Linked DNA regions of Lepisosteus oculatus. The protein of the gene in region 1 purifies or fractionates together with the protein of each later gene. This does not show direct contact. Links are inferred from orthologs where the notes say so. Each region holds a gene or a part of one and is shown on either strand. Other genes may lie near its edges.

Region 1 (3,751 bases):
GGGGTGTGGTTCGAGGGCGGGCTGGCGTGGGCGGATGAGGGATTTTGTTTGAATCGGATGACGCAAGTTTACATTTGCGTTAACATTTGAGTTACGTTCAGCCTTTGGCAGAATTAAACAATTAAAAAAAATAAATAAATCGAGCACTCTGGCAGGATTGAGGATAAGCAGAGCGCATTCTTTCCGCGTGAGTCTGGCCGGAGCCCGACTCCTCTTGGCAGAAGGCCCTTCCCAGCCCTCCTTCACTGGAGGGGACTCGGGCGAGAGAGTTCCGAACCCCACGGATACGGGCAGGCCCTGGGAAGAGTCGGCTGGGCGTCACCGAACACCGACCGGGGGAGGGGAGTGGGGGACACTGCAGGACACTTCAAAGCCCCATCCTGTGTTCAGACTCGCCTACCATCTTGTCCAATCCCTGCCCCCCCCCAGTCTCAGTGCTCAAAATGAGGTTTGCCATCAGTTCATCCCGTCTAAAATCACAGGACCCGGGGGTCGCCTGAGAACGCAGGTCTGTACGCCAAGGGTGGTGGGAGTGTGGAACAAGCTGCCCACTCATGGCTTCTTTCGGGAAGCGGCAGGAGGTTACCACCGGATCCCAGAGCTACTAGGAACCTCATGAGCCAGAAGGACCACATGGCTGCCTCTTGTCTGGCAACTGCGATCTGCCTTCAGGGTCACCCACCCCTCAGGTCACTAAGTCTTTGCATCCCTGAACAGCCATTGGTCTGTTCCTTCTGGCAGATCACAGGACTGCCCTTTCAAGACAAGGTTCTGCAGCAGACATTTTCCTTAGTCCTGGGAGTCTAAGCACAGGCAAGACCCTTCATGGGCGAGATTCTTGGATCTGCAGCTTCCAGCTCCAGTCTTTAACGTCAACAAGGACCCTCACTGAGCAGCAGTGATCCCGCAAAGACCATCAGGAGAGCAAGCGAGAGCTGAATTATGGGAAAGCCGCCAGCAGGCCTGATTGTCCAATCCCAGACTGGACTCCTACGGGCTCCCTGTGAATACCACACGTACCAGTACCCTAGTTTACCGTGGAAGTCCCGCACCCCGGTACCGGACGGGCCCAGCCGAGCCCCGCGATCTCGGGGAAGATACAGCATTAAAACGGAGCTGATAAAACATTCAAATTGCGTTTGAGAGGAAAAGTGCCCCTGTGTTTGTGTGAATTTTGTCAGCTGTTGCTGGATTAAAACCTTTAGCTTCCTGCATTCCTGCTCTGAAGCGTGCGGGTAACCTGTGCTCTATGGCCACTTTCCCAAATCTCTCCACACAGCCATGCAGATAAGCTAGGTGATCAGGAAGACCCTCAGTAATAGGCTGATTGAAGAGACTAGGCGGACTTCGACCCACGAAACAGGAAGAACAGGGCGGAAACTGGACAGATGCTAAGCGGCACATACACATTTTCCAAAGTCGGTGATCATTTGGAACACAAACGATCTGAACACCCAGCTACCCCACAGGACCAGAGTTCCCCAACAGCTTATAAGTAGGCTGCAAGGGAAGGTTTATTCCCTGTTGAAAAGAGAAGAAAGGAGACACAGCGTTTCGGCTGTGGAGCCTTCTTCGGGTGTGAACCCTTTACTTGTTCCTTTGCCGTCTTCGTGTGCCGTCGCAGCTCCCTGCTTGAACTACTTCATAATACGTAATGCTTATAATGCTTATAAGTAGTCCCCGTCTTTTAAAAAGGGTGAAGGTTGACCCCTCAACCTATAAGCAACAGGTCTCCCAGTCCGGTCCCCAGAGAGCCCCATCTGCTACTGGCGCCCACACACGGGCTACTGGTGCGGGCGCGTGCCGAACCTGGAACCGGAACCCGCAGCAGCCGTGACCGCGCGGACGCGCCCCGCGCTGCGCTGCGCTGCGCTCCGGGAGCTCGCGGGGCTGTCCGCCGGCGGTGTGCGGCTTGAACAAGCCGCAGATGGAGCAGGGCTGAGCTGAGCTGAGCCTGCAGCGGACTACACACATACAGTACACCCGTGCGCCCCCACCCCCGTCATCTCAAAGGGTTCTTTCGCCGGCTGCGGGGTGCTGGAAATGCGTCTGTTTAATAACCGGTTAGAAAGCGGGACAGTTCTCTCTGTCTCTCTCTGCGTGTCCGTTAATCCTCACTAAGACTTCCTTGCATTTATAGAGCAGTATCTATCCCGAATACACCCCGGCTGGCTCATGCACTGAACTCCTGACATGAGCGATCAGATTCGCCTGTCCAGCCAGCGCGCCGGTTTATCCTCAACCCCCTCACCCCGACCGAATGAATCCAGCCCGCTTTCGGGCTGCTCTGGGAGGTAACTGTGGAACATATTTTTCCCTAGTTCTTTCAGAAGGGCAGCTCAGTTTTTTTTTTTTTGTCGCATCATTATTATTTTGTGTCCGTTATTTAACCTGCTGGCACCCGGCCCTACAGCTGAGTCACTGAATCAAGATGGGGATCCATGCGGATTACGGTGCAAAGACTACGATTTGAGCGCGTTTTACTCAGTTCTGCAACGGAAAACAAAACACTTCTGTAATTACGAAACAAGACTACATCTACAGGAGTGAAGGGGTTGGACTGCTAACCAACACACAAGGTAAAATGCTCAGATAAGTTATTTTATCCTCCTCGCTTAAATAACACTGCAGGCTTTGATCCTGCCTTTTACCCTAAAACCCGTTTTTGAACTTTCTGACAGCGGAAGCGAGAGTTTCTTGGTTTCCCTGAAGCGCACGCACACTTACCTCGCTCATCTCGACCGTCTTATCTCGCCGGACCGAGCGCGCACCGGGCTGGGGCCCCCCCTTATAAGGAGAAATCTGAGCGATTGACAACTCTCCTGGCCAATGGGGAGGCCGCTGGAGCGGGACGCGCGGCTCCTTCACCAATCAGAAGAGGGTGGGGGGGGGGAAGGGAGACGGCACTTGAATTTATTGCAGCTGCTTAGCTAGACTACGCCCAAGGTCAGAGCGTAGAGATTTATCTTTACAAGTCTTAAATACCTCATCCACATTTAGGATTATTATTTAAGACGGTTGCCATATTAACACCCATCTGTCTTAAATGGTGCTCTTTGCGTTCAACACCTCACAAACAAATTTCTTCAGTGCCTCGGCAAATAGTCTTTTTTTTATCCCCGCAGAGAACCAGAGGGAGCGAATATGTTCTATCCCCTGGAAGCTGAACCGTCTTCGGAAGTGAGAGAGTTTTTTTTTTTAAGATTAACATCACTTTATTAACCCTTTACAATTTCTTGCATGAGGAATTTGTCTTTTCGCAGACCCCAGCTTGCTCTCCATGAGACACACAGACAGGGAGAGAACCTGGGGGTCAGAGCGCAGGGTCAGCCATTGTACTGTTGGGGTTAAGGGTCTTGCTCAGGGGCCTAACGGAGTAGGATTCCTCTGCCGGCTGCGGGATTTGAACCGGCAACCTTCCAGCCACCGGCGCAGATCCTGAGCCACAGAGCCATGCGCTCCTCTGACCGATTGGGTCGAAAAGCGTGAGAGGTCAGCGGCCCGGACATCGGACCCCCCTCTCGCACAAAGGGGGGACACTGACTCAGGGGAGAGCATTTCTATCAGTGACCACACCTGCCCTTTTCAATCCAACCCGTGAATTAAACCCCGAATCGGCTGGCGCTCTGCAGGTCTGTGCTGGGACAAATCATGAGCTCACAGTTTCCTTGGTCAGCCCCCACACAGCCGAACTTATCATCCAGGCGAGCCGACAGACGGCGTCGGTCGCTTTCCTTAAAGGGACCGTCCT
Region 2 (3,751 bases), about 10 Mb from region 1:
ATGAGTAACTTAATACTAGTTAATAAAAGACTAAACATGACTGGATTGGAAACTTCAGATATCTACATCTACATTATAATTATGTTACAAACCACCAGAAATGTTTATTTTCCTGCTGCTTACCAACAGGTTTGCAGGTCCATTCTCCCTTTCCATTTCCCAGACAAACACACTCCAGCATGTAGCCCCCTGTCTCATGTGGCCTCCTCCAGGTATCTCCAATCTTGTAAGATTGTCCTCCCTCATGACACCGGTCTGTCAGAAACAAGACATTTGCCATAGGCTCCTCTTTTGCTATGTACAGTATATATGTACACACTGAAGCATTAAAAGCACAAAAAATGAGCATCAGAACTAATGCTTCTCAGTAAATATACACATAAAGGTTAGAGAGGGAAGCTCTCAGACGTATGTTCTGTAAACATACATGTATAAAGAAAACGAATGTAAAACATCTATATATGGTGACAAAACTGAACTAACTTAAGACCATAAAACATGCTCCTATTACAAGTAAAGCTTTAGACACCATCATTGCAACAAAGGATTATTTTCAATTATTAAATTGCTGTTGGGAGGCACTCAAGTTAATGCATGTTGCTGAGCAGAAAACAGTACAGGAAAGGGGTGAATTATTGCTCAAATTACAGTGATATAATTAGTGGAGTACTAGAGGGGTCTGTATTCAGATTATAGCTATAGTAAAACAGCAAAAAACACAGATTAAAAATAGGAGAGTTAGTTACTGTGTAAGCTACAGAAGAAATTAATGAGGAATGCGAAATCAGGTGACATGACATTTAAAGCAGATGTGCAATTTCACATCCACAACAAAATATAATCTAAGACATTAAACACTGACATTTAAGATACTTATGAAACTGTAAAAGTACACACACATATCTAAATATAGGGAAGCAGTAAGTGAAGCCAAGAGTGTTAGAGAGCTAAATGTTTGAGTTGAATTCATCAGCTGTTATAAGCTTACTTAATTTTAAGACTTCATTTAAGATAGTATTACAGTTTTCTAAAGCTAATCAGTCCAGAACTGCATGTTTTCAGTCTTAAACATAAAAGACTACCAAAGCACAAATTCAACCCAATGCACTTTGGGTTCACAATCAGTAGTAAATCATGAAACATGGGAAAACAGAAACAACAACAAAGAAAAAAACACATTTCAAATTGAAAAGGGGAACCACTTTTTTTCTTTATACAAAGGCTTGTTGGAGTCTGATTAAAGTAATCCATCCATGATGTTGAACCTAAGTCTTTTTTACAAGAAATTACTGAGAAATTCTGAATTTTGCTACTAACAGCAAGCTAGGTGGGCCAAACAGCTTCATCTAGTAATATTTATGTTTTCAAAGACATTACAGATGTGGTTCTGGTGTGTAGTACAAAGTATCTTTGTTTTTTTAATACATTCAACTTCACAATGACTAGCAAGACTAAACACCTTGATACAGAAATAAAATTATTACAGGGTATAAAAGGGACAAATACAGTTAAGGTTTGTAATGTAATGTCTATTATAAAGTATATTTTACTACAAATTTAATAATTTAATTTAAAATCAAGCCATTAAGGAGTAGTCCATGTTATTTCAGTTAAAAGTTTTAGAGTCAACAACATGCCCAAAAAACCTTTAACACCGTGGTCCACATGAAACTCACTAGCAATTGTGCAGCTAATCTTTCCTCTGCCAGAACCAATGCAAGTACAGTCCCAGATCATGCCATCCTTTGGACGCTCATATGTTTCTCCCACGCGATAGGTCCGTCCATTGATTTTATCATAGCAAGTTTCTTCAGCTACAGGAAAGCAAGCATTGAACAGTTAGGAGTTTAGTTACAATGCACCATCTGATGATATTTATTCTTTCCTTGTATCCGTGTGTTGATGTACGCAAAAAATATCCTATTCTAATTCCAGTTTTACAGAAGTGTACTGTAATTATATTATGGAAAAAGTAACTTCCTGCAAACTCACCTTCTGGTTTAGTTTTGCATTTAATTCCTCTACTTCCATGACAAGTGCAAACCAATGTACTGCCCAGGTACGGACGCTCCCATTGTTCGTTAATTCTAAAAAATCGTTCGCCCTCAAGGCAGCCGTCTAAGAAGATAAAGAAAAATCAATTTCACTATGCGTTAAAATATCCCCCTCATCAATTATACCATAAAGATATTTAAGGCGCAGTGTTCCTTTCATATTATTGTTAAATAACACCCTCGAGCTTAGTCGACCTATGGGCAAGATTCTGGAAACAGGGCAATACGTAGTTTTGAGGTACTTCATCTTGTACGCCTACTTTTCTGAAAAAAAAACAGAAAAGTAAAAGTAACACCGTAAAATTAACACTAACAAGCTTTCTTACTGTAAAGTTGTACGTTACTAGAAAAGAGATGCTATTACTTTATAAACTGCTCTTCGAATAGAAAAACTGCAAAAACAGCAACTGCCCAATTACACAGTAATTGCAACGCATTAAACATAAATCGTCATATAAAACTCAGGTCAATCACCTCTCCTTTAAATTTTAAACTGCGAACTTAATGGTATACAATAATAAAAAGCGAGAACCCAAATTCCAGTTTTGGTAGGGATAAACGGTATGCTTACCCTGAGAAAGCGATGCTTCGTCGAAAGGGATTACTTGCTGAGCCTGCCTTTTGCTTTTAGTTGCATGTTTGGGCATACAATGGACAACACTGCTGAAACATAACGCAACTATTAAGCCTATCATAGGGCTACAAGTCATTCTATAGTTTTGAAACCTTTTGCACGAACACGAATACTGTTATTTGTAGGGCTATCCCTAGCAAAAGTAACCTCAAAAAGATCAGCACTCGGCCAATCTAATTCCTAAGGTTAAACTTCCAAGACAAATGGCCTGAACCCTTTCCCTTGCAATCACCAAACCCCAGCTCTTCGGAATGGGAGAAGGGCTGCTCCAGGGAGGGTTTTTATTTAACGGGGAATCTGTTTTCCAGAAGAGGAGGGTCTTAGGTTCTTCAGACCACTTCGGACACTTACGTCATCGAAAAGAGTAACCATTTTCTTTGCAAACAACTTTAAGTGGGATAATGTTATTTTTTGTATGTTATCCGTAAATTAGTATATATTATTTCGGGAAAAGACTGGAAATTTATAGTTAGATTTATTTTCGTTGGTTTTACTGTAAAACGTGATCTACAATGATTTCGAATCATTGCAAAGCGAGGTTTTTACAACAGTAGATTTGATCAGATATGAACATTTTCTTCACGTCTTCGCATCGTAAGTCGTCCATGTATTAGCGTGATTTTTATTTTCGTTTTTTATGTGGGTCGGTGCCTTAATAAAATTGTCTACATTACTGCTTTGTTCTTAGTTTCTGTACTGGTTAACCGTTTTTTTTACATCATTTTATTGTAACACGCATAAAGGTATTTAGTGATATTTTTTATAAAAAACGTAGTCACGTCCCAATCTGTTGAGATTTACAAAAAAATGAAGTACCCGTATTTTTAAAATATTTCAAGCCTTAGACACAAAGGGGCATACGACTGTGAAGTAACTGGTTAATTCTATGGAATACATTTTAAATTTAATTTATTTAAAATAATGAACCACGCTCATATAAGATCAAATCCTGAAATGACCGTTACAAGATAATGGGAATAATTGAAACCACCGGGAAAATTGTAACTCGGTTTCGAGAAAAAAATTTTCCAGAAACATAAATTAAATTCCTCCATTTAAACAA

The links. The genes of interacting proteins can lie anywhere in the genome.
Region 2: the proteins of beta-galactoside-binding lectin-like (region 1) and fibronectin purify together in Homo sapiens (affinity purification with mass spectrometry; 3 studies listed by BioGRID and IntAct, with this or other methods). This does not show direct contact. The link is inferred for Lepisosteus oculatus from reciprocal best matches to the Homo sapiens genes LGALS1 and FN1.

What each region holds. Positions count from the first base shown.
Region 1 is NC_090707.1:37,170,944-37,174,694, reverse strand, and holds the start of beta-galactoside-binding lectin-like, read right to left. Parts: upstream 2,824-3,751; 5' UTR 2,737-2,823; coding exon 2,728-2,736; intron 1-2,727. UniProt on the Homo sapiens protein: Lectin that binds beta-galactoside and a wide array of complex carbohydrates. Plays a role in regulating apoptosis, cell proliferation and cell differentiation. Inhibits CD45 protein phosphatase activity and therefore the dephosphorylation of Lyn kinase.
Region 2 is NC_090707.1:27,125,681-27,129,431, forward strand, and holds the start of fibronectin, read right to left. Parts: upstream 2,946-3,751; 5' UTR 2,765-2,945; coding exon 2,626-2,764; intron 2,119-2,625; coding exon 1,993-2,118; intron 1,815-1,992; coding exon 1,677-1,814; intron 256-1,676; coding exon 124-255; intron 1-123. UniProt on the Homo sapiens protein: Fibronectins bind cell surfaces and various compounds including collagen, fibrin, heparin, DNA, and actin. Fibronectins are involved in cell adhesion, cell motility, opsonization, wound healing, and maintenance of cell shape.